3 linked regions of the Oryzias latipes genome follow. The protein of the gene in region 1 interacts with the protein of each later gene in a pairwise test. Links are inferred from orthologs where the notes say so. Each region holds a gene or a part of one and is shown in the gene's direction. Other genes may lie near its edges.

Evidence for each region.
Region 2: the proteins of kpna3 (region 1) and ercc3 interact in binary tests that used the Homo sapiens proteins (3 or more experiments, as listed by UniProt). The link is inferred for Oryzias latipes from reciprocal best matches to the Homo sapiens genes KPNA3 and ERCC3.
Region 3: the proteins of kpna3 (region 1) and mat2b interact in binary tests that used the Homo sapiens proteins (3 or more experiments, as listed by UniProt). The two-hybrid records come from large-scale screens. The link is inferred for Oryzias latipes from reciprocal best matches to the Homo sapiens genes KPNA3 and MAT2B.

Annotation. Positions count from the first base shown.
Region 1 is NC_019879.2:9,667,511-9,678,066, forward strand, and holds the end of kpna3 (importin subunit alpha-4), read left to right. Parts: intron 1-257; coding exon 258-343; intron 344-1,396; coding exon 1,397-1,483; intron 1,484-1,568; coding exon 1,569-1,738; intron 1,739-1,890; coding exon 1,891-1,935; intron 1,936-2,012; coding exon 2,013-2,144; intron 2,145-4,321; coding exon 4,322-4,450; intron 4,451-4,655; coding exon 4,656-4,760; intron 4,761-4,926; coding exon 4,927-4,998; intron 4,999-5,274; coding exon 5,275-5,437; intron 5,438-7,346; coding exon 7,347-7,441; intron 7,442-7,535; coding exon 7,536-7,634; 3' UTR 7,635-10,168; downstream 10,169-10,556. UniProt on the Homo sapiens protein: Functions in nuclear protein import as an adapter protein for nuclear receptor KPNB1. Binds specifically and directly to substrates containing either a simple or bipartite NLS motif.
Region 2 is NC_019861.2:14,774,822-14,786,013, forward strand, and holds the start of ercc3 (general transcription and DNA repair factor IIH helicase subunit XPB), read left to right. Parts: upstream 1-5,727; 5' UTR 5,728-5,896; coding exon 5,897-5,924; intron 5,925-6,240; coding exon 6,241-6,440; intron 6,441-6,541; coding exon 6,542-6,778; intron 6,779-6,856; coding exon 6,857-6,906; intron 6,907-6,988; coding exon 6,989-7,124; intron 7,125-7,326; coding exon 7,327-7,497; intron 7,498-7,625; coding exon 7,626-7,830; intron 7,831-8,238; coding exon 8,239-8,553; intron 8,554-8,738; coding exon 8,739-8,923; intron 8,924-10,125; coding exon 10,126-10,328; intron 10,329-10,424; coding exon 10,425-10,521; intron 10,522-11,192. Other genes in the region: gtf2f2 (general transcription factor IIF subunit 2), read right to left, coding at 937-1,002; gpalpp1 (GPALPP motifs-containing protein 1), read right to left, coding at 1,495-1,713, 1,820-1,924, 2,008-2,172, 2,325-2,583, 3,438-3,518, 3,605-3,728, 3,839-3,923. UniProt on the Homo sapiens protein: ATP-dependent 3'-5' DNA helicase/translocase. Binds dsDNA rather than ssDNA, unzipping it in a translocase rather than classical helicase activity. Component of the general transcription and DNA repair factor IIH (TFIIH) core complex.
Region 3 is NC_019872.2:23,842,265-23,853,415, forward strand, and holds mat2b (methionine adenosyltransferase 2 subunit beta), read left to right. Parts: upstream 1-4,301; 5' UTR 4,302-4,415; coding exon 4,416-4,478; intron 4,479-4,570; exon of another isoform or gene 4,571-4,681; intron 4,682-4,838; coding exon 4,839-5,033; intron 5,034-6,036; coding exon 6,037-6,151; intron 6,152-6,341; coding exon 6,342-6,494; intron 6,495-6,648; coding exon 6,649-6,848; intron 6,849-7,205; coding exon 7,206-7,319; intron 7,320-7,635; coding exon 7,636-7,809; 3' UTR 7,810-7,811; intron 7,812-7,872; 3' UTR 7,873-8,477; downstream 8,478-11,151.

The DNA of each region.
Region 1 (10,556 bases):
TTGTTGAACACATGAATCCTTTTATAGTACACATTGATTTGAAACATTTTATGCTTTTTTTAAAAATTCAAAATCAGCATAAAATTGTCAGAAAATAAAAGTAGGAGACAAAACTGAGCCTAATCAGTTTTTAACATGGTGGACGCCATTTTTATCTTTTCTAGTTTGACATATTTTTGCTTCGTTTGTTTGTTGTCATGGAAACCAGTGTTTTCATTTCTCGTGCTGATTTGTTTTCTTTCTCTTTCACCACGTAGCCCTTCTTTACAGTTCGAGGCAGCTTGGGCTCTGACCAACATCGCCTCTGGGACGTCGGCACAGACTCAAGCTGTGGTTAAATCCAGTAAGTCGACCCCATACGCCGTCCTCCACATGCTTCCCCGTCTGTCTGGGTCTGGACGCCGTCTGCATGGTCGTCTTCTACTAGTTCAGCAAATCCCAGTCAGCTATTCTTCAGTGTCTCATTTTGCACTAGACTATAGACTACCGTACTGTTTAGGCCTTTAGCAAGAAGTAGTATACTTGAAGTTTATTTTATGATGTATTCTTGAATTTAAGTATATGTAGTGTAGGAAGTATACTCACTGAATACTTATTCCGACTAAATTGGAACATTTTAAGTTTACAATATATAAATAGTGTATATTAAGAAAACTTCAAGTATACTACCTCACTTTTAATACAGACTACGTATACTTGTAGTACACTTAAACAGACTACTTTTGTTTAGTGATGACAGCTCTTTAGGATGCAAAAAACAAATGTATTGACTTACTGTTAAGCAATTCATCTTTCATCTTATTTTGTTTGTCTCAAAGTTCACTTACATTTGATGTTGTTGTAATAAGTAAATAAAAATAGCATTTTCTTTTTTACCTGTTAACTTATTGATGAAAATAAGTCATCTATCAACCATTTGTTGACCAGAACCTTTATTTTTATTTGTGAAACTTAAATTGTGGATACATTAATATCATGTCTAAAACTGAATTCCGACACAAAAAAGACATGAAGTCACAAATGGATGAATGCTCGGGATAGCAAAATCCATGCTGTAAAAAACTATAAATGCAGACACAATTGAGGCAAAGACCTGAATAGATTTGATTAATTGTTTAGCTTCTTCTTTTTTTTGGGGGGGGAAACAGAAGAATAATCTTTAAATGTGAACACCATGACGCTGGTCAGCACTTGGGCATCAAAGGAAACCAGGTGGACTGCTTTACTGGCATTCTTTTCATCAACTTTCCACTTTAAAGTGAAATCAAAGGTGTTTCTTGATGCTACTGCCTGTGCGGGGTGTTAAGCTGCTCCACCAACGCAGCAGCTTTATCTTCATGTGTTGGTAACGTCACGTCATATTAGGTTTTTTGATCGTTGACGCTTGCTGACCCAGATGCAGTGCCGCTGTTCCTGCGCCTTCTACACTCTCCTCACCAGAACGTGTGTGAACAGGCAGTATGGGCTCTAGGAAATATTATAGGTAAGTGCTTTCCTGTGGTAAAGGTGTGTACCAACATTTGACATTGTCCAGCGCAATGTTGACATGCCACCTGTCGTATGGTCAGGCGATGGGCCACAGTGCAGGGATTATGTCATCTCCTTGGGTGTGGTGAAGCCGCTGCTCTCTTTCATCAGTCCATCAATCCCCATTACTTTCCTCCGTAATGTTACCTGGGTTATTGTTAACCTCTGTCGCAACAAGGATCCTCCCCCACCAATGGAGACTGTGCAAGAGGTGGGTGTGTCTGGACCTGATTACATGCTTTTGTGCTTCAAATCAGCCTCATCACCTTAGAAAGTCTTTTACTTTGAAGGCCTGTTTGTTCATCTAATGAGATGGCTACAACTCATCTACTCGAGATCTTTCGTTCTTGTTTTTTCCTACAGATTCTGCCGGCACTCTGTATGCTCATATATCACACTGACTTAAATGTGAGTATCCAATTGGCATCGCTGCTCATTTCCTGGTTTAATCAGTCACCTTTGTAACACAAACTTGCTGGTTTTAGATCCTCGTAGACACAGTGTGGGCTCTGTCTTATCTGACGGATGGAGGCAACGAGCAGATCCAGATGGTTATAGATTCTGGGGTCGTTCCATTTCTCGTGCCTCTCCTCAGCCATCAGGAGGTGAAAGTTCAGGTGAGATGAAATTTTGTCGAAGGTGTCGATCAGCCATTATGTACATGAAGTGGTCAAAAAGAGGGCTCTCTAACCTTTTATAGGCCAAGGACCGGGTTAATAATAATTTAATTTCCCAGACTTTCCTGTATAAGGCTGAAGTCCAATTTTCTGTTTTTAAAGCTTTCAGTTTCCCTTAACTTTTGAGGGTAAAGTTTATCTTCATACTCTGTAAAATATCTGCAGCTGGTTTAAACCTTTCCTCGAGATTACATATAGGAACCATTCAAATGTGATATAGATTTTCCATTAGTGAAGCCCGTTGAGACAACTGTGTTGTAATATTGGGCTATATAAATAAAACTGAAATGAACTGAACTGAATTAACCCAAAACTGTCATAGTGGAAGCTAAATAATCAGACGCCAACCTCAGCCTTGCGACAGATAAATACAAAACAAAGCGGTCACTAAAACTGACATTTTATAGATAAATGGGAATCTTCGTTTCATTAGACAGCCAGTGCCTGAATATGACACATAATTAATGTTATGATGCCATTTTGTAGTGCTGTCCCAATCTACAATTCCAAAATCGAGTGCCCTAGAAATTTCCCAGAAGTCTTAGCCAAAAACCAGGGTGCAACGCTGCTCACTAAATTGGCAAATACAGACCACAATGCATTGCGTTTGAACAATTATTGTGGGGAGAAAAAAAAGTATTTAAATGTATTTTTTAGATTAGATATCAACGTTGTTATCTAGAGCAGTGTTTTTCAACCTTTTCTGAGCCACAGCACACTTTAACCTTAAAAAAAAATCCCGCGGCACACCAGCATCCAGAAAAAAAAAAAAAAGGAGAAACTCATGGTCTGTATTGATCTACAGTCCCTACACAATCTCACATGCATTTTTGATATAATTGTGTCAGAAAAAGCTGGAAACTGCAGCTGTTTTTTTTCCTAAAAAATGCAATAAAAGTTAAGTTAGAAGATTTAAAAACAGATTGATGTGTGTTCGTTGTTTCAAGACGTTTAACAACAGATCTCCTTGTGCGCTGTCAATCTCATGACCCAATGCATCATGGGAGATGTAGTGCATAAAACGGCTGGAGATCGGTTTTCGGAGCTTCAGTGTTTTGTTCACGTGTTCCACGGTCTGATACCGGATTCTGTGGAAAGCTACACCGCTAAAGACGAGCTTTAGCTGCTATTTTTGTTAGAACTGAGCGACTTTACGAGCTAAATCGGGACAAGGAAGTGAAGACTTTAACCGCTTCTGATTGGTCAGACCGATGACATGTGATTAAGCTCCCCAAGAATGATTGGTGGAGACAGTTAAAGGGACGGGACTTTTCCAAAATACAGCCGAAGGTGCAGCTGAATCGCGGTACTGTACAGTCATTCTTATCAAAATGTCTTTAATAAAATAAAATAAACGCAAAGAAAATGTATTTTACATCTTTTATATTCCTAACTCCTCAGTGTTTTATCAGGGCCTGTTTGGATGAACAGAGAGCTGAAATCCTGGAGATGGGAAATGTTTTTAGATCAGTTAATGAGGACAATTTCCCACGGCACACTTGACCATCTCCCACGGCACACTAGTGTGCCGCGGCACACTGGTTGAAAAACACTGCTCTAGAGAACAGAGTGGATTCATAAATAGTTATAGAACACTCAAATTTATTAAATTAGATGATGTTGGTAACGTCAGGTTAAACAAAAAAGAAAATGTAGTGAGTGTGATCTCTGGATTGCTTTTAAAATCAAGGGCACTACATAGTCCTGCATTATATATTGTTTTTAGTAGTTAGGGATTAGGGTGGGAATTTGTACATATTTGGTTTTTGTTTGTTAAATGCAGTTTTTTTTATTTTGAAGTTGAAGACTCTTCTTCCTCTGTTTCCTCCCCGGCTCTTTAACGTTCCAAATACCTGTATTATTTTTTTAAAAACTTTGGGTGGGGGTTTCAATTTAACGATTGTAGGAACATGAGACAGAGTGACGTGACATGAGTCTATCCTGAGTCAGAGGTGGTGGAGACAATCCAGTAGTTTTTCAAAATAAAACTTTTTTCAGTAACAGATTATAAATTAATGGAAATAAAATGAATTTTTTTTGCTTGTTTTTTCTGCGGCTCACTACCAACTGTTGGGGACTACTAGTCTGACGTGTTTCTGTTCTCTCCCGTCACCCAGACGGCAGCTCTGAGGGCTGTTGGGAACATAGTAACGGGCACAGACGAACAGACGCAGGTCGTTCTCAACTGCGACGTCCTCCTACATTTCCCTAACCTGCTCTCACACCCCAAAGAAAAGATCAACAAGGTAACACAGCTACCTTTTGTTAGTTGGGTTTATAGGTTCAAATTCACTGCTAAGAATTTAGAAATCATGAAAGATTTGCTTGTTTTATGCATTTGACTTGCTTTCTGTGCCGCTGACACTATAGCCAGTTCTGGTTTGTGCGCTGAAGAACATTTATTTCTTCATGACTGTTTCCAATCGGGTATATTCTATATTCTGTCTGCAGGAAGCGGTCTGGTTTTTGTCCAACATCACAGCTGGGAACCAGCAGCAGGTCCAAGCGGTGATTGATGCTGGACTGATTCCTATGATCATTCATCAGCTTGCTAAGGTTTGTGGATCCTGGAGGAGCAGATTTTTCTCACTTGTATGGAGGGATCACCCCCTCCAGAAAAAAACTCCAAAAGGGTTTTACTGAAAATTACTGGGATGTGTCCTCTATTCCCTAACAGCAAGGGTGTGGTAGTACATCTCAGTAACAGCTTGGCTCTCTGCAGGGGGATTTTGGTACTCAGAAGGAGGCAGCTTGGGCCATCAGCAACCTCACCATCAGTGGCAGAAAAGATCAGGTTTGTTTTTCTTTTTACCGACAATACAGGCATGTTTTACTTGTATTTGCTGGAATAAACATATTTTTGATTTGATCAGAATTCATATTTAAATCTTTCAGAACATCTTTGATTGCCTTTTATTTTTTATTAACAAGTAAGATTTGCAATGATGAGATGATTCTTGGTTCGAAAATGTGTAACAAGGTGATTTGCATGTATGTCCTCCACCCTTGGAACGGTGTACCTGTGCTGTAACCAGGCCTGAATGTGGCGCGTGTGTATGCGTTTGTGTAGGTGGAGTTCTTGGTGGAGCACAACGTCATCCCTCCGTTCTGCAGCCTGCTGTCGGTGAAGGACTCTCAAGTGGTTCAGGTCGTCCTGGACGGCCTGAAGAACATCCTCATCATGGCGGGGCAGGAAGCCAGCACTATTGCTGAGATCATAGAGGAGTGTGGAGGTTAGCAGCTTTATATTAAACACCCACTCCAACAAACAAAAAAAAGTTTTTTTTGTGTGTGTGTTTCAAACATGCATTTGTGGCATTTTTCTATTGATGGACTTGCATATTAAGGACATTACGGTAATCAGAAGCAGATGAAAAAATACCTTTGGGAAAAGAGCATATTTAATCAAGGATTTATTGTATCAGAAGCTACAAAGCCCTGGACAAGACATTCAAGACAAATCAGTAATTCTTTTTTAATCTGAAATGAATAATTTGTAGCCACAAATTAGCATTTTGGCAGTGTTTTGTAGCACAAATTAGTCTTTTTTTTTTTTTTGTGCACAAAATGCTAATTTGTTGAGATGAAATGGTAAATTGTGACCACCAAATGCTAATTTGTGCACACTGAATACCTATGCATGGTCACAAATGATTAATTTAAGGGGAAACTATTTATTTATTTATGTCCAATGCCATATCTAGGGGGGTATTCCAGAAGGCACTTTTAAACCCTGAACTCTGGCTGAAATCCACCTGAACTTTCTTACTCTGGGTATGTCGGTTCCAATAGACCGGATATGAGTTGGTGTAATTACGCTCGACTTGGTAACCCTGGGTTAATTCCCGGTGCACAGCAGGTACATAAAGACATTCTCAATGGATCGCCGATTTCCAGAGTCACCATGGAAACACGTGGAGAAAAAAAGAGAATGTCTAAGTGTGATGCCCCAGATATTCTCATTTTTATAACATTAAAATGCAGTTTGGATTTGCAATATATAACATACACTCAGCTAACATGACTGACTTTAACTTCAGTTGTTGCAACAATAATCAGCACTAGTGGTGCTAAATAAACTCATACTCTCCCTTCCTTTCACTCATGGTGCAGAGAGAATAAAACACAACAGGACAAAATAACTACACAAAACACAGTAAAACAGCTAGACAACTAAACCCATTTGGTCAAAAATCCACACTTAAACCCAAATCCTTCCAGACTGGCAAGGGGAATGGTATCCCACAATTCCTTGCACTGCCAATCTAACAGCAGCACCAAAGTTACACCTACTTAATTGAATTAATCTGAATAAAAGTAAAATAAATTTATGATAACTATGTGTTATTTTTAAGTTGACTGAACTCATAAAATTATTTATCTTAACTGAAGCAAATAATTAAGTTAGATTAATGTAAAAAGTTTATTTTTCCAACATCCATATGTGGTCTTATCACCCTCTCACGGTGGAAAAAGTATTATCTGAGCTTCTTCATCCACTAAATCATCTTCAAATGGACACGCCATGCTGCTTCACCTCTCTGAAAACAGACTAACCTTCAACTAAACCTGCTCCAGACCAGGTTATGTTCAGAGCATGAGTTGCCATGGCAACTTGACATACCCTGAAACATACCTCAGTTTTTGGAACAGAAAGCTGAGGTTATCCGCTTCCTTAGCCTCAAACTTACCGTGGTAACTCACATAATCTGCTTTCTGGAATACCCCCCAGGGCCCTGTAAAATGCAGCCATCTTCACATCACTACAAGCTCCCTGCTCTGCTCCATTCTGATGCATCCACTTGTAGACGAATAGATCCATGAACATCTTTGTTTTCTGTGTCTAAGCTGGTATCTGGATTAAAACTGTACAGCTGGATAGCTCGCCAATTGCTCACTATTTTTGGTGCACCGGTAATGTGAGGTTTGGAGTGTGAGGGGGTTTAAGCACATAAACAGATGGATGATGGGACGGGGGCAGGATTGCTCAACTCCAACAGTTCCACCCACAACTCTGCTCACCCACAACACTTTGACAAGAGATGAAAAAACTGATTTTAGTGGGACTTGAAACAGATCTTAGTAGCATCCTTAAAAAATGAAAAGCATTCTTACTATTGTGAATTTTGAATCTTTTTTAAGGTTTGGAGAAGATAGAACAGCTGCAGCAGCATGAAAATGAAGACATCTACAAATTAGCTTTTGAGATTATTGATCAATACTTTTCAGGAGATATTGTAAGTTTATTTATCATTTTCATTTTTTGTAGATTTTTCATTTCTTGCATACTGGTCCAACACTAAATTTACTACTTTGTTCTTTGCCTTCCAGTTTGATGAAGATCCCAACTTGATTCCCGAAACCACCCAAGGAGGAACCTTTAATTTTGACCCGGCTTCTAACATGCAAACAAAGAAGTTTAACTTCTAAAAGCCAGGATGTGGGGTTCCACCCAGCTCCCCATCACAGACACGAACCCATCCATCCCACAACCTGGCACCTTTTGGTCCGAAGGATTTTCATGTCAGCATCCAAACTCACCACTTAAGGATTCACCCACACCTACTCCTGCACTGTGGGGTGTTTTTTTTCTTCTTCTTTTTTTTTCTTCATTGCCGTCTTTTACGGAAGATTGTAACCCTTCACAGGAGTCCTGCTTATATAAGAGACACCATGAACACCAAGAGGAGGCCTCGGCCTCTCCTTCCATGTCCTAATGTTAACTCCAAGGTAAAAACGAAAGGAAGAATTTGCCTTCTGGGCAAGATTTTGCCAAATGTCAAGTCTTCACAAAGACAAAATCCAAGCACATGTTATGACACCATTGTGATCACCACACGTATTTGTACGATGAGTGGACACCATTTTTTTCTTTACACTTTAGAAGGCCCTGCATTCATCTATTAGACTGTCACTAACGGGGATGAAATGTTGCTTTTTTGTTTGTGCTTTTCCCCTTCCTGGATTTTCCCTTTGACTTTGGTTCGCATAAATACGTACAGAGATGTGAACAAAGTATACACAACTATGGCACCCCTCTGTCTAGTTTAGAGTTTTTCCCCCAGAGCTAAGCCATGAATAACCACAGACCCTCGCTGCCTTCCCGTAGGACAGGTGGAGGGGGGAAAGGGCTCTAAGGTAAAAACAAACAAACAAAAAAAGAGGACTCTGGCAAAGTGACGGACTTGGCCCCAGAGTTTTAAAGGTGACCTCTGTTGGATAATCAAGATGTTTTATTTTAGAAAAATCATCAGAAATGTGAAGAAAAATGCCATTTTTTTGTTTTTGATAATGTAATTGTAGGACCTGCCAGCTGTTTGCTTCTGATGGCGACGACTTTTTTTGGTTGGTATTAAATGTAAATAACAGGCGGCGGCGTGTGGACGGGTCGCAGAGACTCAAGAGGAGGAGCACATCAACTGTAGCGTTCGTTTCCTCCACAGGACATTTTGGGTTTGCTTTTTATTTTTTTTAAACTTTTCCTGCATTTGGTCACATCCAGTGAACGGACTTCCCCTATAATGTGAAACTTTGAAGGAGCAATCCACTTAAACCTTCACGCAAAAGTCACACCCAGAGAAGTTATCAGACGGAGGACTTTTTTATTATTTTTTTTTAACCCTCAAAGAAAGCATCTTCTTTTCTACAACTTTCAGTTTCCTGGTTTTTTTTCCGGTTAAGTCTGTGGAAATTCTTTTTATTCAACTTTTTCTTCAGTCTTATGCACACGTCTGACGGGCACGCTCTTACCTGCCTGCAGAAAGGGACCTACGCTCACGGAAAGCTCGTGTAAGGGGGTGTACAGGTCCTGATCTTTAAAGAACTTAATCCTTTGCTTTCAGTGAGGTCAGATGTCACCGCTCGGTTTGAAGAATTGTAAAAACAATGTTTCTCTTTGCCATCTAATGAACATATATTTGACATAAAGCCTGTACAAAGCTGCTGCAGCTGACAGTCATTAGATGGACAATAACTGTCATGATTAGCAGGGTGTTTTCTTTTTTAATAGAAATGTTTGTTTTAAAATTTTATTTTGGGTTGACGTATACATATAAATGCATATATGATATAGTGGCACTCTAAAAGTTGGAACAGACTTAGCCTCCCCTCTTTGTGGTGACGGGCTGTTAAAAATGTACCGTCTTGTGTTTCAGTTGCCGTTTTGGGGTTCGAGTTAAAGGCGTTAGCTCGCCTGCAACACCCCGCGCCGTCCTCGCCGATCTGCCGCCCCTTCGTTTGGCTGCTAATGACTTGCAGGGGTTTGGGAGCGGGGGGGGGTCACGAAGAGGCTTTAATTATGGATTAGGGTTGTCGAGAGCAGCCCAGGCTTTCTCATGGGACTAGCTTTTTTTTCAAATTCTATTTCCAAACAAAACTTTTGAGGGTGTACAGTCATGAACTAGCAGACCAGACCGAGCCACTTTAAAGATTTACAATTTTGTTGCCTTGTGTCTGATCTTAGATACAAGCTTGTTTGTTGCAAGATTTTTACTTGCTAATAAAAAGTTGTTTTAAATAAAATAGAAGAAAAGCAACAGACAGCATTTTGGCCTCTGATTGTTTATATCTTTTTATAAATTTTAGATTGAATTCTTCTCTTTAAGGTGGCTCATTGATGTTTTCAACTCCTGTGCATATTAAAGACGAGAATGAGTTGAAAATCATTGTGCCTTTTGTTTTTCATTTCAATTTAAACAAAGTTTTATTGAAATGGCAAAATCTCCACGGATAGGAGGGAGGTGTGACGTGAGTCTGTTGGGAAATGAGCCATGAACGTGGTCAGTACCTGAACTATGTACATTTGCCATTTTTGCCCCACCCGTCCTTCCCATCATCCTCAGTACCAGAAGTCATCCTTCCCATGGTGGCGGGATGTGGGGATTTCCTTTCATGTTACCCTCAGGACATCATCTGTGTCTCTAATCTTGATCAAAATAAACTTGCTGTTTAGCTGTTGGATTGAATATCTGTATTTTGTTGACTCTGAGCTTGTTTTAGAAACTTTATGGTGCAGATATCTCCAAATGTCTTAGATAATAAGGGGTTTCGTGAGGCACTAAAAAGTCAATGGAATATGCCTTTAGGTGAAACACAGATTTCCTTACCCCACATCCAAGATTTCTGACATTATTGTTAACCTGATAAGTGTTTAAATTGCAATTCTAGTTTTCTAATTCTAGTTCAAAAGGCTTATTTTATACAAAAATTGCTGAAAAGGATTCTCTACAGGTCTAAAGTTCTCCCAAATCAGTTTTTTTTTTAACAATCTCCATGAAGGAGGCAATCCTACGGATCACAAGCGATGCCAATTCTGTAGCTTTATGTGATTTTGAGAGCAAGAATCTGCAGAAC
Region 2 (11,192 bases), on another chromosome or scaffold:
TACTTCTTCAGACAAAATTGGAACATTTAAAGTTTTTAATATATAGTTTCATCACACTTCTGATCTGTCTACAAAAGTATTTGTTTTTGTTTGTTTGTCTTTGTTCATTAGTTTAACGGGGACAATAAACTAAATACATTAAACAAAAAATACTGCTTCCGTATGCAGTCATGAATGGTGGAACTCAAATGTAAAGCTAAAAATGTTCCCAAAAGAAATTAATAGACAGTTCTTTCAATTAAAATATTCATATATTGTTACTTTAGAAGTTAATTTGAAGGCAGTGTTTTACTAATTTATGGCTTTATAGTAAAAAGAAGGTCAACAGAATTTACAGGAACCATAGTGTTGCTTTTATTCACCATTTTCAGAGTCCGTTTTCATAAATGATATTTGCTAACTGGCTTATTATCATCATGCTATCCAATGTATAACTTTTGCTGTTTTTCATATATGCTCCCAATTCTAAAACAGTTTTTAATTTACAATTCTGGTACAAAAATAAGCCGCAACAAATAAAACAAAACTCAATATTTTAAGAAAATGTTTGCAAAACTAACATTAAATTTCTCGGGAACTGAACGTATAATTTTAAAAGTAAAAGGTGCAGCTTTGTATTAAGTTATTTTAATAAATTAATATTTACTATCAATCAACGCAAGAAATATCTAGCATCCATGGCTGCATCATCATGTTGAATGCCGTTATCTACAACGTAGGTTTTAACAAAGCCAGTTGTTTGATATCAATTATTGACTTACTAAAGAAAGAAAAAAAAGTTAAAATAGATTATACATGGTGTATAAATTGTTTATTGACAAACAACGCAGTTTCACTCAACTAATGCTAAGCTAGGTAACCATTAGCATCTGCACCGTATAATTACACGGCATCGTCTTCAGTCTCGTTGCCGTATTCAAAATCCCATACACTTACCTTCACAAGCCACACACCCGTGTTCAGCTTAGCACCTGTTAAATCAACGTCACTTTTTTCTGACATGTTTCAGGCGTTGCTCTTGTTTTACTCACAGGCAACACGCTTGCGCAAGAATATTAAACTAAGGAGAGCGCGATGGTCCAAAATAGAACAAACTCACAATCACGCGAATTCCCTCCAAACAGCCCAAAATTACGAGTGAACTATATTTTTTTAATCAAACGGTACAAGAATAATGTTTTTTTTAATTTTATACAACTGGAAAGTCAAAACAAAATTGGTTAAAGATAACAAAAACTTTCATACATTTTAATTTAAAGAGGAACATAAAAACATGGAGAGGGTTGTAAATACAATATCAGAACAGGTCACAAAAACACATCATGTTTAAACTAATGTTCACCCCCCCCCCCCCCCCCCCCCCAGCAAAATTATACAAACAATCTGCATTTCCACAAACAAGTACATACATTTATAAAAAAAAAAAGTCTTCCAGAAACCCTGCTGGTAAATTGCTGCAAGTCCAAATTAGACTATGCATGTTTTAGCAATTTATTACAAAAACATTTTGTCCTTGCTGTGGGAGAACCGCGTGTTTAGTTCCTGAGATTTCTTCAGCAGCTGTTTCTTCTGAGCTTCATCAAATCGATTCACCTGCAGGTCTGCATCGCGATCAAATGGTCTTCTTTCCACTGGTTGGTCCGCCTTGTCCTTAGCTTTCTCTTTCATCTTCTTTGCGTGCAAAGTCATTAGAGACTCGGCACGTTTAGACTCCTGAAAAAAAAAACAAGTTAGCACTTTTAGCCCCCATTTTCATCGTGACACACTAATCAAAATTTGAGATTTAGATTAGCAGATATGTAAAGTTTTCCCAACTTACATTATATTTAGAAACCTTTTCTGCCATTTCCAAGTCCTTTCTAGAAACATGCGTGACATCATCCTTTTTCTCTGATTCTTTTTTATTCTTACCTTCAAGACGCTCCTATTCAAAGAAAAATAAGATTAAGAAAAAAAGGGGGGTGGATGCCACATCAAAACAAAGTTATTGTCTTTTCCAATAAATACCCTAGCTTTGCGCTCCCTGTCTGATGGTGTATCTGTCCAAATGGAGCGATCCTTATTTTCTGGACCAGTCCTTTTCTTAAACGTACGAGCTCCCAAGCCGATGTGTTGCAATTCTGGTGGAAGCTCAGTCATCCATGTTTCTCTAGTTGGCAGTGCAGGAGTTTCCTACCCACCAAAAATACAGTATTAGAAAAATGTCAAAGGAAAAAACATAGAAAATGCACAAAGACAAACAGTCTATTGTTTGTAATTTATTTGTAAAACTATTTAACTATAAAAGAAACAGATAATAAACAGAAAAAAAGGAGATGTCTCACAACTCCTGTCAGCTTGTCTTTCATCTGTTTTGCTCGGCGCTCAATATCAAGGGCCACAGAGTTTTGAACAGGGCCTTTGGCAGGCATGGGTCCAATCACTTCCTCATCCTCTCCCTCACTGTTGGAGGATTCAGCACAATAGCCTGGAGGTAGAGCGGGCCCTGGGAGACATTCTCCATCTTCACCATCACTGTCATCCTCTTGATTCTGTGCTGCTTTGCAAAACCCCGGGGGCAGGGCGGGACCAACAATGGGGCGCCTTCAAAAATAATGTAAAAATGTTATCAACTGGCATAGTTTGTTAGCCCTAATTTGCTGGTTCCTTTATAGATGTGGGAATGAACAAAAATATGATGGAAGTATTGACTTTAATCAAACCACACCACAACTGTCTGCAATGACCAAAATGTAATGAAAATAGGAGGGTAGTAAGTACCTCTAAATGGCGCTCAGACCTAGTAGCTGCAGTTGGGTGTCACTGATCAACAGCCCCTCTAAAAAAAGAGGGTTTTTTTCTGTGGGCTGGTTTGAGCATTTTTGGTTTGGTTTCCAAGAAAGAAAAAACATGAGCACTAGTCTGACAATAAAGCTGTTGTCAATTCACAAGGAAAGTGATATAATTTTGAATAACTGGGAAAAAAATAGCAGTTGGCTTAGAAAAGCTGGAGGACAAAAAAGCCATTTCTGTGTGAAAAAATCATCAGAGCAAGACTGAGGATCGAGGAACAAAATCTATAACGACTGCCGACTTAATCTAGACCTCCACATTGGCGAGAGTTAAAGCCGCACTTCTGCAGGAACACCTCAAATCTAACTTTAGGTCTAACTTTAGGCTTGTTTTGCTGCTGTATTTTCTCTATACTTTGCCGTTTCTGAATAAATCTTTAAGTCTTTTTGAACCAGGGTTTTATAGAGGCAAATGTCATACTATGACAAAAGAGTCTACAATAAAACAGGTTAATTAACAGTTGATGATCAGTGAGTTTCCTGCCTCCATCCTAACCAGAAAAATGCACAATCACAATTAAAACAGTTCAAACGATAGTTTCTTTTTTTTTTTTTTTTTTTTACTTTTATAGTCCATTAAAAACATTTCTTAGGGCATCTGCTCACCTTTCAGGAGAACTCTCTTGTTTCTTAAATCCTGGAGGCAGAGCTGGCCCAAAGAAACCGTCATCTTCATTACTGCTCTGTCTGCACAGAGACCGAATCCAATGTCGTTATTTGGCTATAGAGACAATGTATTGGGATTCGAACCTGAAACACTTTAGTGAACCCACTCAGGCCGGTCTCCAGCGCTGTGCCCCGTCTTTGCTCTTTTCCTGGCGATCTCCGGCTCACTTTCATCCGAAGAGCTCGACGCCTCTTCCCGTTTGTATCCGGGAGGCAATGCCGGCCCAGCAACTGCAGAAAAGATAGATATCAAACTAAAGCAAAAATACTTCTACAAGAGTTAACATGAACTGCTGACGTAGCAACAAAAATTATACTTGGATGTTGATTCCTTAACTTACAGTCATTTTCATTAAGCTCGTCCTCGGAGCTCTCCTTTAGAAACATTGGAGGCAAAGCAGGTCCAATTAAGTCTTCCGACGACATTTTGGACTTTGAATTAATTCACTGTTTTCATCAGATTTTGTTAAACGACATAAAACACTTCACAAACCACAAAACGAAGATCGTCCATAAAAAGCTTTTTTGACCTTTTACACAGGAAGTAAATACATTTGTTTGGTCAAAGGCGGAAAAGTGCTTTCAGAATAAAAGCATGGGTTTATTAATGTCGTATTACTTTGGACTAATGTTTTCAGAAATATAAACTTAATGAGAACCCCTAACAAGTATTAAACTATTTGGATGGTTCATGTTCTTTTTTGTGTGTTTGTGTATTTGTGTGTGCGCATGTGCGTCTGTGTATCATGTTCATTCTTTTATTTTATGTTCTACATATATATATGTTATGTTAGGTTATGATTGTTATTTGTGGTGACGTTGTTTATATAGTTACTGTTGATCTCTGTATGATGACTCAATTGTTAATAAAGTTTTTTGGGGAAAAAAACTTTGTACTAATGGTTTTGTACTAATTAGCTGCTGTATTTTTTTCTCATTTATCAAGCCTTATATAGTCATGTAGTTCATATATTCATATTGTAGTAAAAATGTATTGTAATTAGTGAAAATATAGAAGTAAAGGTTGTCATACTTGTACAAACTGGTATTGAGCAAAATACAATCACTGAGGTAGACCTTGGGATCAACCTGAGATTTCATACTAATATTACAGAATCCAGAAAATTTGGTTGTGCAGCTGAAAATACTACATAAACTAATGTGTTAAGATAAAAGCAAGAAAGAAATTTTAAAGTTTTGCAGTTAATTATATACACTAGATTTTTCCATAAACTTTCAGATTAAAAACACTCCATGAAAACACTGTGGCTAATGGTAAATACTTATAAAGCGCTTTTCTACCTTGAATTTGGTCTAAAGGGATCTTGAGTCAAAGTCACATTCACCCATGCACACACACATTCACACACTGATGGTGGCTCTGCTGCCATGCATGGTGCTAGCCTGTCCCTCCAGGAGAAACGTGAGGATCAGTGTCTTGCCCAAGGACACTTAAACATGGGTGGGCAAGGCAGGAATCAAACCTGCAATACTCCAATCAGAGGTCAACCTCCCCAACAATGCACCACATGCCGCCTCTAAAGGCAGAAGAAATTGAAATGTAGTGACTGAGGTTGAATCTTCAATGTTAACTTTGATATAATCAAGTTTGTTGTCAAATAAAGAATACAATTCAGGCACAAAAGAAATAAAAATAGATCAGGAGGGAAAGATGAAATGTTTGAATTCCAAGATCTACCAATGGTGCAAAGGGAAAATAGGTACAATTTTAGTGCTCACAGTCCACAGTCTAGTACATTATACACCCTGTTATGCACTTAGTCCAGAAAAGCGCAGTGCTAGGAACAGCTAAGAAACTGCGCAGGACCCTCAAGCTCCCAGGCCTCTGGTAGAGGACCCGAGCTTGGATTTTTATAAATTACCCACTTTATCAGACACTTACTTGATTCTGCTCTGGGACAGCGCCTGTTAAATGTTCTGGGGGTAGGCTATATTTATTTATTGAATTATGAACAGTATAGGACTCCATAGGGCTAGATGGTTTAAACATTGATAAAAGGACGTTGAGTGAGAACTGCCAGGATGTAGTCAAGGAGGACATGAGGGTGTTATATAGTGGTGGAGAATACATAGGACGTGGTTAGGCAGAGGCTTTTGCTGTGGAGACTCCTACAGGTTACAACTGGAAAGCTAAAAATAAGCTCTGCATCTCATTGTGAGGTTCCACTCCACGGCAGAAGGGGGCAGTAACGCGCTGCTTAGGTTTCTTCAATAAAGAAGAAAAAATGAGGACCGGAAGCTTTCTTCATCTGGATTTTCACCATTTTGGCTAAATTTCTTGAAATTGACGCACTTGTTAGTGCTCTTTTGCAAATTTTCCGTAGAATAATTTAATTCTGTATAATGTATTAGACATATTTTATAACAGACATTTCATAATGGGTAGAAAGGACAGAGGAGAGCGGGGTAAGTGACGTCGTTACACAACAACAATCTCATTCTCATCACTCACTCATTTTTAATATTTTGTCTTATTTTTTATATTGTCATAATACATAAGCTTCTCGATTTAGTTTTAAGCAAATGATAGTAAGATAATTCTGCTGCGAGGACAGAAGGGCAGGTTTGTTTTTGACTCACTGTTATTACTTTGATCAGGTCAGATCTGATGTAAATAAGTCGTCTTAAAATAAATAACTAAATAAACATCACATCAGTGATGTCTATCTAGAAAGCAGTTGTGTGAGAATACTGTCTCATTTCTTGACCTGCTGGGCTGTAGAAAAGAAGTCCAAAAAACGTTACTATGAAGAGGAAGAGGAGGATGAAGAGGTAGCCGGTAACGAGTCCCAGGAAGCCGTACCCGCTGCTGCAGGAAAACAGGTGGATGAGTCCGGTACAAAGCTGGATGAGTATGGGGCCAAAGACTACCGTGTTCAGATGCTGCTGAAGAATGACCACTCTTCACGGCCGCTCTGGGTGGTAAGCTGTGCTTGATGGGCTCTTGGACTCATTTCAGGCTTCCAGCTTCTGCGCAACTGCAAAGTATTATTATTGTTTAATTTTTTTATTACCTCTTCTAGGCTCCAGATGGGCACATCTTTTTGGAAGCCTTCTCACCAGTGTATAAATATGCCCAGGATTTCCTGGTGGCCATTGCAGAGCCTGTGTGCAGACCTAACCACATCCATGAGTACAAGCTGACTGCATATTCTCTATATGCAGCTGTCAGTGTGGGACTGCAAACCTCTGATATTGTGGAGTATCTGCAGAAGCTCAGCAAAACATCTGTACCAGATGGAATTGTACAGTTTATAAAGGTTTGACAGCAAAATCTGATGGAAAAGGTTTTTATGGCGATTGAATATTATTATTTATCTCTGTTTGTTTTTGATCAGCTCTGTACTGTGAGCTATGGCAAAGTCAAGCTGGTGCTCAAGCACAACAGGTCAGTTTATTTGGATGGTGCGTTAGTTATTTTATCACCAAGCGTCTTTTTAGCACCCTTTACGGGTTTTGTCTTCTTTCAGGTATTTTGTGGAAAGTGCCTTCCCTGATGTGATCCAGCGCCTCCTGCAGGACAGCGTTATCCGTGACTGTCGTCTTCGCACTGCCGGCGGAGCAGACTCTGAGCTCATTACTGAGGTCATCCACAGCAAGCCAGCGGTACGCTAAGCAGGATTTCTTTGCATTTAATGACATTTTTTACATGCAATGCTCATATTTGAAGGTACTTTAAAATTCTTTAATTTGTAAATAAAAAAAGTGAAAATATGTTTAGCTAAGGTGTCTAATGCACAGACGGATGTGCTTTCTGTGTGTCACAAAAGATTCTGTGGAAAGATGCATTTCTTTTTGTTTTTGACAGATCACGAAATCGGTTGAAGAAAGAGGAAGTGCTTCCACTTCACAGCAGCCTGATGATGGGCAAACGTCCACCCAACAGGTTCCTGAGGACATCTTCAAATACTATGAGCAAATGGATAAAGATGAAGAAGAGGAGGAAGAGACTCAGACAGTCTCCTTTGAAATTCGCCAAGTATGCTTGGGATTGGTGTCTAAATATAACCACAGTTTTCTTTTTGGCACTTTACTTCAAATTTAACATTATCAAGAAGAAATCGCCAAGTTTTTCTCTCTCTTTTTTTTAAATCTGATTTGCTGTAGGAGATGATTGAAGAGCTACAAAAACGTTGCATTCAGCTGGAGTACCCTCTCTTAGCCGAGTACGACTTTCGCAATGACACGGTTAACCCGGACATTGCCATAGACCTGAAGCCCACTGCTGTGTTGCGGCCCTACCAGGAGAAGAGTCTGCGCAAAATGTTCGGGAATGGACGTGCACGATCTGGAGTCATCGTGCTGCCCTGCGGTAAGCTGCCATGGAGATTTTAAGAGAACCGAGGATGACTAAAAAGGCATTTAGGCATTTAATTCGTTTAATTAAAGGATTTGGAGAGACAGATTTTTAGTTTAATATCAATAGCTTGGAGTTCGTTTTTTTAAAAAGTCCTGCTTTTTATTTTTACCCATCGAACTAAGTCATAAAAGTATAACTAGCTTTACAATCGAAACATTTGGATTCTACTTGTTATGTTGATCCTCTAGTTTTCTGTTAATAAGGAATTCAGGCAGGATCATTTATTTATGTGTTTTTTCTTTGTGGTATTGCCATTGTACTATTGCAAATGCAAAACCTTTTCAATAGATTGTTGCAAAAAAAATAAAAATCTCAGTATTGGACTTAGTTTCTATCAGTATGTCTACTTCTGACCCACAGGTGCGGGGAAATCTCTGGTGGGCGTCACGGCAGCGTGCACGGTGCGAAAACGCTGCCTGGTGTTGGGAAACTCTTCCGTGTCCGTGGAGCAGTGGAAAGCTCAGTTCAAGATGTGGTCCACCATCGACGAGTCGTTAATCTGCCGCTTCACTTCCGACGCCAAGGACAAGCCTATCGGCTGCTCAGTGGCTATCAGCACCTACTCCATGCTGGGTCACACCACCAAGCGATCCTGGGAAGCTGAAAGGGTCATGGAGTGGATGCGGAGCCAGGAGTGGGGACTCATTATTCTGGATGAGGTGCACACCATTCCTGGTGAGTTCTTCAGCTTTGTAGTTTAGAGCATAGTTTTATTTAACATGCACTCTAAAGCTGCATATGTATGTTCCAAAAGGACAATTTATAACAGTTTCAGATGCAGAGAGAGGAACAGAAAGGATCGGGGCAAATGTTTTTGTGAAAGAATTGATCTTTGCATAACTACTCTCATTTCTCTGTAGCAAGAATGTTTCGTCGGGTTCTCACCATCGTCCAAGCTCATTGCAAACTGGGCCTCACTGCCACACTGGTCAGAGAAGATGACAAGATTGTGGATCTGAACTTCTTGATAGGCCCGAAGCTCTATGAGGCGAACTGGATGGAACTACAGAACAACGGATACATAGCCAAAGTCCAGTGTGCAGAGGTGAGAACTCCACTACAGTTAAGGCCACAACATATTTCATGATTATATCAGCTTTGGTCATTTGCCTTTTCTTGACTTTTTAACCTGATAAATATTGAGTTTTTTTGTTTTTTTTTAGTCAAAGCTGTACTGAATGTCATTTGATAAAAAAACTAAACAGATCAATTGGATATGTTTTAATCAGTAAATTACATCAAAATAAGAAATATAAATAAATTATTCAGTTACTTTTTTTTTTGCTTTCTAAATTTCTTTTAAAACATTTTCCTTTTTTATTTACATATCTTTTAAATCAACATTCATTTTTTAAACGTGTCTTTTCACAATTTTTTTTAATGCTACCTAAAAGCTTGTCTGAATAATTAATTATAAAAAATTATTTAAAATATTTCAATGAAAAGCCACTCTATTTATATTATATTCAAATTAAATGTAATGTTTAAAATTAAATAAAGAAATAAATACATTTTAAAATATTTCAATTTATAGCTACAGATCAGAAAAAGTTTTAAAAAGTCTTCTGGACTTGGTTTGTTTTTTTAAGTTGAAGATGTTTTGCCTTTTATCCGAAAGACTTTGTCATGGATGAAGGAAAGTCTCCACAAATATGCAAGCTGCAGTTTAAGCTTCTTTATAGCCTATTTTTGTATGAACTTGCTACTATATAGAAATGAGTAAGAATTCACTTACTTTACTTGCTTCTTCTAACACAAAGATGGAACATATAAAAACTTCTTTATCATTGTGCTAAACAGTGCCGTAACTGTTGTCTTAAAACATTTGTCCATTAATTCTTTAACGAGGTTTCTTTAGAACTTAATTAATGCTGGTTAACGTCTCAAAGATCATTAAGAGCTATTTCTGTGAGGTACAACAGAAACGGAAGGAGGAAGGATCTGCCTCTAATTATTGTTCAAATTTCCAATCTCCTCTTACATCACAAGGATGTCAGTGTTCCTACCAAATCTGCATAATACATTTGTTTTTTATTGTGTTTGACTGGGATTATTTGCTCCTTTACTGTTAATGTTTTTTTTAGATTGTCTTCACCTGTATTCCTTTCTTAAACAATAGATCAAATTATTCATTTGGTTATATTTTTTACGGTTATTTGTGGTCTCTGTTAATAAAAGAAAAGCATTTCTTCTTGGATCACACTGTCAGTTCAGGCAGTCTGAGTGACTGAACTGTCTTTGCTTCAGGTGTGGTGCCCGATGTCTCCTGAGTTTTACCGAGAATATGTGGCCATTAAGACGAAGAAGCGGATTCTGCTTTACACGATGAACCCCAACAAATTCCGTGCTTGCCAGTTTCTCATTCGCTTCCACGAGCGGCGCAACGACAAAATTATCGTGTTTGCTGACAACGTGTTTGCCCTGAAGGAATACGCCGTACGTCTCAACAAGTGAGTTTTCACACTTTGACTAAATCAGCATTTTGTCTTTGTGGAAAATACTTTTTTTATGTGTTCTTTTTTATTTTTTTCAATATTTCTCTCAAGGCCCTACATCTATGGTCCTACCTCTCAGGGGGAGCGAATGCAGATTTTACAAAATTTCAAGCACAACCCCAAGATCAACACCATTTTTATTTCCAAGGTAAATCAGATCCTTCAACTGTGTTGCACCAAGTTTAACTTTTGTCTTTGCATTGCCAAACTTTGGAGCCTGCTCTCCGTGAACAAGCGTTGAGAGGATCTAATTGAAATGAAAACAACAAAACATCTTCCAATTGTCAACGTAACCTGGGATCTGATCCCGTGCTGAAAGCACATAGTCCTGAATTACCATTTTGTCACCGCTAGTCTTAATTCAGGCAGTCCTAATTGCAACCAATTAAATGTTATCATTCTGTTGCGTAGATCATCTGAAGACTTAACTCTTCAAATAACCCTTTCCCTCCTAACACCACTAACACCCTAACGAGCCTAGCCCTCGATTACTTTGCAATTATATAGCTGATCCATCTGTACGTGTATTTAAATAGATTTAATTAGATTTAGGACTAAATGCGTATGTCAGGATTTCTCACTGTGACACAGCTCAAATGGTATTTCTCATAAGTATGTCTCTTTTTGGATTAAACACGTTTAATATTTAATAGAATAGTTTGATGTATGAAATAAGTAATGGGTGCATGATGCATGATTTTAAGTAGGATTGCGGATATTTACAGTTAAGTGTTTTTAGGATGTACTACCACACTTAATTTTCTCTGAATAATATATACCAATTATAGACAAATATTTAATCAATTTTTCTTTTAAAAC
Region 3 (11,151 bases), on another chromosome or scaffold:
CTATGGAGATGGTAGAGCAAGAAGGTGCTGGTTCAAATCCCAGAAAACCACATTTGGTGGAAAAATGGTGATCGACTGGCTGATGTACACAACAGTGCGATGGAAGTGACTTGATCTCCAAAGCAGAGATGCGCTGGTTCAATCCCCATCTCTGTTTTTGTTGTTGGTTTTTGCTGCTCCTGGACCATCTTCAGCTCAAAGGAACGAAGAACTGCAGCTCTGGTGTAGACAGATTAGCACAGTGGGAGTATTTCTGTCCTTGAAGCAGGAGAGCGCAGGTTCAAGTCCCAGTCAGGGACATGGAGGTGTTCAGTCACCTCACAATTCAAGCTGTGGCTAGGAGGAGTCAGGACGCCAGGAAAGGGGGCTTCATCTTTGGCCCCCCACCCCGAGGAAGGAGGACCAGGAGAAGAGGATCCCATAAGAAGATGTGCATTTAGATAGAATAAGAATGCAGCTTGGATGTGTGGAGGGTCAGAACACAGAAGGTACAGGTGGGGAGGGATGGTGCAGATTGACAGAGGAGCTAACAACAACAATGGTGATCTGGCAGTGTTGAGGTGCTAGGTAAGTCAAAACTTTTATTTATAGAGATTAACAACATTTTTGTTTTTGACCTCTACCAACTACCATCTATAGATTTGAGAAAGTATAAGAGTAGTTGCTCAAAGCTGCTTCTTAGCGGGATGTAAAAGAAAATCTATCCCCCCCAAATAAATAGTACACAGTCTAGCATGGTTTGGTTTCTATGGTTTCCTCCTATCAGTTCTAGTTTTCCAGGTACCAGTATCCCTCCTCCTAGGTGTCTCCACTGTCTGTGGCATGATCTCTAGTATTCAACCTTCATCTTATAACACAACAAAGCCATTGATCTCTTTTGGATCATCAACCATCTAAAGATGAAGCCATCCAACATCTCTGTCTCTTCTTCACCACAAGCATGAATCATGAACAACTAGCAGGACTTGAACCTGCACTCTCCAGCTTCAAGGAGAGAGACAATCCCACTGCGCTAATCCGTCTACACCAGAGCTGCGGTTCTTTGTTCCTTTGATCTTAAGGCGGCCACACGTTTCAAAAATCAACAATCAGGTCTAAAGACACACACGATGACATCACTTCCTCAGGACCCTTATATCTAACTGGGAATTGAACCAGCACTTTCTTGCTTGAAGCACAGAGACACTGGCACCACACTACTCTATCTGCATCTGAGCAGGGAGGTTCTGGTCCATGGAGGATCTCACGCCAAGTCAGCTTTTATAGAGACGGTTTGTTAACAAGTCGGGAATTGAACCAGTCACTCCCACTGCACTATTTAAAGCACCACACAGGTCCATCCTGTACCTCACGAAGGTGCAGCACCTTCAAGTTATGTCACTTCCTGTTTGCTGGTTTTGTCCTGGACAACACAGGAAGTGATGCGATCCAATCATTTTTAAAATCTTTCTCCTTTTAACAAATTCAAAGTGAAAAAACACACAACACTGCAACCACAACTCAAAATATAAATTAAAATTTCACAAAGGGGAAAAAAAGATTTTCATCACAATAAAAGCTGGATTTCAAATAGCCCAGTTTTCTCAGCTTTGAGGAGTTGATCAGGTTTCTTCAGTCACTAAGGATCTGTTCTGGTTTTAAGATTCTCTCAGTTCTCTGGATTTTGAGTCGCTTCTAGATGAAAGTCTTTTCTTTCAGATTTTAGATTCTCAAAAATGGAATAGTTCCAGATTGTGTCACATACTACAAAGCTGCAAGCACATATTTAAAGCTGCTGAGGTCTCTGGAGTTCCATGAATATCAAGGTGTAGGATCCTCCAGAGGCTTGCAGTTCTAGATAAACCTTCTACTTGGCCCTACTAAAGAACAGTCACAAGTAGAAACGGCTGCAGTGGGCCCAGACATAATGAAGACTCCTTTGCAAACAGTCTTGTTCACTGATGAATGCCGTGTAACCCTGGATGGTCCAGATGGATGGAGTAGTGGGGGATGGTAGATGGCCACCATGTCCCAACAAGGCTGAGTCGTCAGCAAAGAGGTGGAGGAGTCATGGTTTGGGCTGGAATCATGGAAAGAGAGCTGGTCGGCCCCATTGGGGGTCCCTGAAGGTGTGAAAATGACCTCTGAGAAGTAGGTGGAGTTTCTGATTGACCACGTTCTTCCATGGTACAAATATAAGAACCGTTTTTCCATAACAAAATCCTCTTCATGCATGACAATGCACCATCCCATGCTGGAAGGAAAACCTCTGCATCGTTGGCTGCTATGGACAGAAAAGGAGATAAATTGATGGTGTTGACCCCCATCCTCCCCTGACCTCTCTAGAGAGAGAGAGAGAGAGAGAAATATATATATATATGAGAGGGTGGAAGGTTGTTTACATTCAAACAGCAGCTCTGGGAGGCTATTCTGACATCAAAGAAATTCAATTCAATAGTCTTGTGTCATGATCGGACTACTAGGTAGACCCAGATGCTGGAACCCGGAAGAAACTCAGGAGGCGAGGTAGAATCAAGATGTTTAATGTTAGAGCCGGTCCAGGATCGAAGGGCCAGAGTCAGGGTCCGTGAGCAATCCAACGTAGTCTGAGCCGAGGACGGCGAAACCAACTTGAGACGGAGCGGACGTCGTGGATGATGGAACTGCTGGCGGCGAGATGGAGCACCGAGGACGGTGTAAACAGCCTGAGACGAGGTGGAGCGCCGAGGACGGCGGGACCAGCTTGGGGCGAGGGGAAACGCCGAGGACGGCGTAACAGGAACAGAGCAAGGAACCAGCGTGACCAGAGAGGAGATGACCTGAAGATGTGAGACAGGAGCAGTAAGTACAAAGCTTAAATTTACTAGAGCGAGAGTACTTAGCTTGAGACCAGGCATAGGCACCGGAGTGAGTATAACGGACTGGCGAAGTATGCTGGGATGGATCTCCTTAAGAAGGTCTGCCAGGTGATGAGGTGATGGGGAGGGGGAGGTAGCAGCCGGAGGCACCGTGACAGTCTTGTGTTTTCAGATATAACCTTGACATTTTTCTTTGATAATTACCTGCAGAAGCAACAATTTATTAAGACATTTAAAAAATATATATTACTTTTTTTTCCTTGTGGAAAATATTTTTATTGAAGAATTATTATTTAAGCAGTAAGAAGACTGTTTCTTTGTTTTTTGTTTTTTTATGTTAAAAGGCTGACAAAGTAAATCATTACTGATGTTAAAATTATTAATACTAAGTCAAATTAAAACTGCGAGCAATGTTGCAAGCAAATCCCTAGGAGGAGTTTAGATTTGTAGCTGGTACCAAATAAATTGCATTTTTGAGAAAAATTCAAAGTCATAGGTCAGCAAAACTTCAAATTCAACTGCCATATTGTACGGAAACAGGAAATTCTCCAATTTTCACATTTTATCCAGGAACGCAGCAGGACAGAATTCCCAACGACTCAAACAATACAATCAAAACAATCATTATCTCACATTTCTAAAACCAGTTTCTGTTGTCTTTTTAATATTTATTAGTTTTAATTAATTTAAGTATACCATTTAAACTTTTTTTAAACTATATTTGGCTTGTACAGAAAAATTAAGAATATATGATCAGAAGTTATAAAAAAGACTATTAGACAATACGTTTTTGAATTTATTACTTAATTACCATCTTAAAGTTTATTTTTTGTTATTTCACTTCATTGAATTTTGTTGGGTTGCTTATTTTCTTAAAAAATATTGCTAAACTGTTTATTGTTTGAAGAAAATGTTTGGATGTATATGTACATCCAATGTATACCACACTTGGTATACATTATTTTATTTTGAAAATTGACAACAGTTCTCCTCCGCCTGACTGCAGTTCGAATGGTTGTCCAGCTGGTGGCGGTACTGCTACTTTCATTGACTTGAATAATTGCAAGTGCAGACGAAGAAGAAGCTGTCTGATTCAACTATGAATTTACTGAAATTCGCGTAATGTTTATTAGACTTTAGAGTGTACTTAGTATATTTTGGTGTCTAGTCTTCTGCAGATAAAATGCCTGACTTTGGAATAGCAAATCCGGAGGTAAAATTCCGATTTTGTTTGAGGTGTAATGCTGAAATGTGTAACCTCGGAATAGGATTGGGGATCACTTCACTTCCTTTGCCACTAAAGAAATCAGCGTTCAGCTCAGTTTTGCGCATGCTTGGGCGGACAATAAGTGTCAGAACAGGACCTGGAATGTGTTTGTATTTATTCTGTACTGGTTCTGGACCATTTCATTTAGGTTGCTAGCTGTGTGCTAACCTTTAGCATCTTAGCGAGAGTTACCTGACGATGATCAGCTGATCTGACCGGAAACGGAAGCAGTAGGTTAAAAAAGTACGCAGATCACAGTCCAGACAATCGCGGACGACGCAGGATCACATCTGATCATTGAGAACCCCAAAATGAGCTACGCAGGCGCAGGAATGAGGATCGTATTTAGCCCGGGGCGCGTGCAGGTCGTTCAGGTCTGTCTCCGTTCACCTCCGTGTGAATCTTTAAAACAAACTTAGACCCTGTCTGGTTCGAACTGTTATTTTAAACAGAACTGAAAACTGACCCGTCCAGTAGTGGGCCATCAGACTCTCTGTCCGTCTGTTCTTAAATCTGCGGGGAAGAGGGCCCACCTCCATCTCCACCTGTTTGTTTACGTTTCGTTGTTGTGACGTCACATCCTCACAGCTCTGACTCTGTGGATAGAGCCTGTGCAGGACCAGTGGACATCATGGCTTTCCCCGTCTCCTTGCTCTAGCAGCAGATCAGATGTTTGTGGAAATCTTGTATCTTTTTATACGTTACTCCTTTGTCTCTGCTTGCTGGTTATCTAGGAGGAAGACCTGGTCCAGGGTCTGAAGGTTCTTGTTACCGGGGCAACGGGTCTTCTGGGTCGAGCTGTCTGCAAAGAGTTTCAGAGCAACGGCTGGAGTGTCATCGGAACAGGATACCGGAGGGCGCAGCCGCGCTTCCTGCGCTGTGACATGACTGACGAGGACGCTGTCAGAAGTCTGCTGCACGAGCACAAGGTACCTCTCATAATACTACACAGGAGTACTGAGCAGGAGGCAAAGTACTGCAGTAAACTCCAGAAAAACCCAGTGTTTACTGTAGGAGAAGAGAATACTACTGAGCATATACTGGGAGCGGATTTGGTCCGAGAAAGTATCTACCATTGGTGTATAGAGTACTATAGAGTGTGTACTGTAGGAGCCTGTAGGAAAATGCAGTGTGAAAGTTTGTGCGTTTAATATAGTTGTATAAAGTAGAGCTGGACAATTTGGCCAAAACAATAAAATCTCACATTTCATTCGTACTAAATTTGATTTTCTATTTTAACTTTAATCGATTTTTTTTTTCTGCCTTCTGTTACTTTTTTTAACAAAAGTGACAAATGATAGAATATTTTTAACAAAAACTATTTTATTTTAGAAATCTTTCGGAAAACAGGTCGAACACAAAGTGCAGCTAAACCCAAGCTGTAAAAATGTTTGTAGATCAATGCAGCCGATGTTTTGTGAGCTACCTGTGGGGTTCCCCAAGGGTCGATTGTAGGTCCTAAACTTTTTCATCTGTACATGTGGGGGATGTCATCAGAAGACAAGTTGTAGTCTTTCACAGCTTTGCTGATGACACTTAGTTTCACATCGCTGAGGCTGCTGATGACCTTGAACCTGTAAACATTCTTTTACATTTTATTTTAGACATATAGTTCTGGCTGGCAGAAAACGTCCTACAGGACAAAACTAAAGTTTTAATCATCAGGATTGATTTTAAGATTCTTTTTGTGGTTCTTTGTTTTAAATGTTTAAATGATCTTCTTACCCACTAAAGCATCAGTACCACAAAGCTTGTACTGTGGGAGTACAATGCACAACAGAATATGTACTTTCATAGTACAGAGTTCTTTGAGATCTACATAACATGTAGCATGGAAAACCAGAGGGATTTGTTAGAGATTTAGTTGAACGTTATGGGCTCAAACGGATGTGTTTTCATGTGTGTGTGTGTGTGTTTGCTTGTGTGTGTCAGCCTGACGTGATCGTGCACTGTGCTGCAGAGCGCCGTCCGGACGTCATGGAGCGACACACTGAAGCTGCAGTTCACCTGAACGTGCACGCCACAGGCACGGTTGCTAAAGAGGCAGGTCAGTCTGTGGTTTTTTTTTTGTTTGTTCAGACCTTTGATTGGACACTCTCATTTTTTTCTGCCTTTTGAAGTTAAATGTCTTCCAAATCGGATTCTTTTCACAAAACTTTTAGTTTCCATTATGCAACAGAATAAATGCTGATATTTGTTTTCTTGTTTCCATGACAACGGCATTCATGGGACTGCAGCTGTTTGTGGAGCGCTGTTCATCTACATCAGCACCGATTACGTGTTTGACGGCCGGAGTCCTCCGTACGGCGAAGACGACTGTCCAAATCCGGTGAACGTGTACGGGCGCAGCAAGCTGGAGGGGGAGAGGGAGTCGCTGAGGCACTGCCCAGGTACTGGGGGGCCGTTTTACCGTCTGCCTGCTATTGTCAGCTGTCCTTCCTAAACCCTCTGACCCAGTCTGCTGGTTCTGACCCAGTCCGCTGGTTCTGACCCGCTGTTCTTATTGAGAGAAACTGGAACTGATTCCCTGTTGTGTCGCGAAAGGCGCCGTGATCCTGCGTGTTCCCGTTTTGTTCGGCGAGGTGGAGTCGGTGGTGGAGAGCGCAGTGACGGCGCTGTGGCTGAAGGTGGAGGAGGCGGACGAGGACGGCTGCAGCGCGCTGGACCACTGCCTGCAGAGGTTCCCCACCGACGCTCGTGACGTCGCCGCTGTCTGCAGGAAGCTGGCCGAGAGAGGCAGACAGGTGAGGCAGCTTTCCCTGTCTCATCCTCCACATGTGTCACTCTTTCTATGTCTCACCCTCCGTCTATCTCACTCCCTGTCTCATTCCATGACCCCCTAAATCCATGACTGTCTCACATTCCACCTGTTCTATACGCTGCATGCCTCACTATCATCCTGTCTCACTCCCTATCTGTCTCACTCTGTACATGTCTCACTCTTTGAATGTATAATCACCTGTTTGTTTTACACTCTGCATGTCTGTCTCACTCTCTTTTCGTCTCACCTTCTGCCTGTCTCAATTTCACCCTTTTTTTCCATTCTTACCTTTTGCCTGGCCCGTCCATGACGATCTCACCGTCTGCCTGTCTGTCTGCAGGATCCATCCATTAGAGGAATCTTCCATTTCTCTGGGAAAGAGCAGATGACCAAGTATGAGATGGCCGTTGCCATGGCGCAGGCTTTCAACCTGCCGTCTAACCACCTCATACCTGTGAGTGTTGAGTCAGGCCCATGCGTGCTGCCTTAATACTTAATCAAATGTGACACAGCTTTTTCTGTGACCTTTGGCCCAAAAGTGCAGAGATGTCAGTAACATTTATCTGAACAGAGCTGGAACTGTGAAGTATTGAGTCCTGAAGCACCTCTGACCAAAACCAGCCTGAGAAGGAGATTCGGAACTGAAGCGTTCTCTTTATAGGAAGATCTGAGTTCACTCTGCAAGCAGACCAACATGAAAATAATTTCCTCCTTTGCCTCCTTAATGCGTTAAAGGCAGCAGCTTCATGTGTGTGGTTTTTTCTGCACAGCTGACAGAGCAGCCGGCGGCAGCTGCTCCTCGTCCAATCAACAGCCAGCTGAACTGCTCCCGCCTGGAGCTGCTCAACCTGAGCGTGGAGCCGCGGCCGTTCTCCACCGCCATTGCCGACTGCTTGTGGCCGTTCACCGCTGACAAACGCTGGAGGCAAACCGTCTTCCACTGAAGGTGAGACGCCTTTCTGTCTCTGAACATGCAAACTTTGTGTTTACATGTTTTTCTCTTGCAGGTTGAAGGCCATCAGGAGAAGAGGTGCCTGAGATCAGGGAACCAAATTGGACTGGAGTTCTAGAGTTCTATGTCTGCATAGATTCTGAATATTCAGACTCATTTGGGAGAATTTCTGCTGCTGGTCTATTAAAGTTCTTAATTAGAATGAATGTCCAGAAGCTCTGAAGCCCTGCAGACAGAATGACCACGAACTTGTGGTTTAAATTAATGTTGTGTTTCGTTCTTCTTTTAGGTCTAAGTTTAAGTTTGAATCAGATGATCATCTTCATCCCTTCACCTCCTCTGGGGAGGAGGACTTTTTGGAATGAACGTAAAGAACACAGCTGACTTGTTAAAAGATTTTAAGATTTCACAAATGTCCACTAGGGGGAGCCACAGCTGTTGTGTTGCAGTTTAGTTTGGCAAAGAGGTTGAAGTTAATTGTGTGTCTGTAGAAACTTTGTGGGAACTCCCAAATGCAGCACTTTAAAAAAAAAGACGTTTGTTTTGTTTGTGTTTAGCTTTTTTGTTTGTGCAGATCTGTGTGGCTTTAAGAAAAACAACCACTTTAACACAAATGGATCATAATGGCTGAATCAATAAAGCTTTGAAGCACTGAGTCCAGTTTGTGTCTGTAAATGTGTTCAGCCATCAAACAGCTGATCAGACCAGGGGGGGTTTCCAGAAGGCATGTTTAATCTACCCTGACTTTAAGCCTGAACTCTGGCTGAAATCCGCCTGAACTTGCTTACTCTGGGTATGTGGGTTCCAAAAGACCGGATATGAGTTATCAACTTGGTAACCCTGGGTTAATACACGTGCACAGCAAGTACATAAAGACATTCTGAATAGATCGCTGATTTCCGGAGTCACCATGGAAACGCGTGGAGAAAAAAAGAGAGCACTATACATTTGAGACAGTCTGAGATTTCAATGACGGCGTATGAAGATTATACATCCATCAAAAAAGTAATAGGGCTGCATCAACAAAAAGAGTTTCTCCATGGAGAAAAAGAACGGACAAAGTAAACGGACGAGTTTCTGATGTTATTTTAAATTTTCCTTGTGACGCATATATATATAACTTGTCCAATTTTGCCAACTTAAATGAATTACTTCTATTGGTAACAAGTAATTGAGTTAAATTTATTCAACCTAATTTTTTACGTTTGTAAAACTTGACCCTTGCGCTATCCTAGGCACTTTAACATTGGGAGTTGGGTCATCTAGACCCACTAGCTGAACCTTTTTTCTTCAATGATTTGTGAACCTCACTGGTGTCCATGGATTACATGAAATCTTTCCACCTTTATCCACCTTTGTCATGGTAGGGAGAACACGTCAATGTAAGGGTGGGGTCATAGGATAGCACAAGGGTTAAGTCTTTTACCATCTTAATTTATCGTACATCTTAAACTCTCATGTGTCTAAGTTTGAGCCAGAAGATATTCTCATTTTTGTAACAATAAAAGGAAAGAAGCAAATTTGACACACTGTATGCCATCATGTATCCTTTCTCCACCATTGTTATGAAGGTCAAGAACATTAGGCATGCTATATAAACTCATCATCCTCTCCCTCCCTCTCACTCATGGTGCAGACACTTAAGCATAGGACAAAATAACTCTGCCAAACACAGTAAAACAGCTAAACAACTAAACATATTTGGTCAAAAACTCACACTTAAACCCAAATCCGTCTAGACAGGCAAAGGGAATGGTATCCCACAATTCCTTGCACTGCCGATCTAACAGCAGCACCAAAGTTACACCTTCTAAATTGAATTAATTTGAATGAAAGTAAAATAAATTTCTGATAATTACGTGTTATTTTTAAGCTGACTTAACTAAAAATATTTGATTTATCTTAACTAAAGCAAATAATTACAGCGGGGAAAACAAGTATTGAACACGTCAACATTTCTCTCAAAAAACATATTTCTAATCAAGCTTTTGACATGAAATTTTCACCAGATGTCGGCATCAACCCAAGTAATGCACACATAGAAAGAAATCCAAACATTTATGTCCATAAATGAAGTTATGTGTAATAAAGTGAAATGGCACAGGGAATAAGTATTGAACACGCTAACTGAAATTTATTTAATACTTAGTGCAAAAACCTTTGTTGGTGATTACAGCCTCAAGACGCCTCCTGTATGGAGAAACCAGTCGAATACATTGCTAAGGTGTGATTTTGGCCCATTTATCCACACAAACTGCCTTCAAATCTTCTAGGTTCTTTTCTGTGAACGCGGATCTTCAGTTCTTTCCAAAGATTTTCAATTGGATTCAAGTCTGGTGATTGACTGGGCCATTCTAGCAGCTTTATTTTCTTTTTCTTCAACCAGTTGAGTTTTACCTTGGCTGTGTGCTTGGGATCGTTGTCTTGCTGAAAGATCCACCCTCTTTTCATCTTCAGCAGCCTGGCAGATGACAGCAGATTCTGATCAAGAATGTCTCCATACTTTTCTCCAGTCATTATTCCTTCAATGATATGAAGTCTACCAGTACCACATGCTGAAAAACAGCCCCACGCCATGATGCTCCCACCTCCAAACTTGACTGTTGGTATGGTATTTTGGGGGTGATGCGGTGCCATTTTTCCTCCAAACATGTTGTGTCTTATGACATCCGAAGAGTTCAATTTTGGTCTCATCTGACCAGAGTATCTTCTCCCAGAATGTCATGGGTTTATCCAAATGTTGTGTCGCAAACTCTAAACGAGCTTCAACATGCTTCTTCTTCAAAAATGGAGTCTTGAGGGTGTGCGTGCATGGAGGCCATGGTGGTTGAGTGCATTACTTATTGTTTTCTTTGAAACAACGGCACCTGCTGATTCCAGGTCTTTCTGAAGCTCTCCACGAATGGTCCTGGGCTGTTGAACCTTCTGATGATTGTTCTGACTCCTCTGTCTGAAATCTTGCGATGAGCACCTGGCCGTGGCAGGTTTATGGTAATGCCGTGTTCTTTCCACTTCCAGATGATGGCCCCAATGGTACTCACTGGAACTTTCAGAAGTTTAGAAATGCCCCTGTAACCAATGCCTTCAGTGTGTTTTGCAACAATAAGGTTGCGTAGGTCTTTGGACAGCTCTTTGCTTTTACCCATCATGCAATGCTTCTTGTCTAACACCTTGATGGTGAGAAACCTTTTTAAAAGGCATCAATCAGGACTATACCAGCTGATATTACTTTGCACTAATAGGGGGCAGATTAACCTTCCGAATACTGACAAACTCCAGCTGCTTTCTTGGCTTGCCAGACCTTTTTACCCCTCCTTTTCTTCATGTGTTCAAT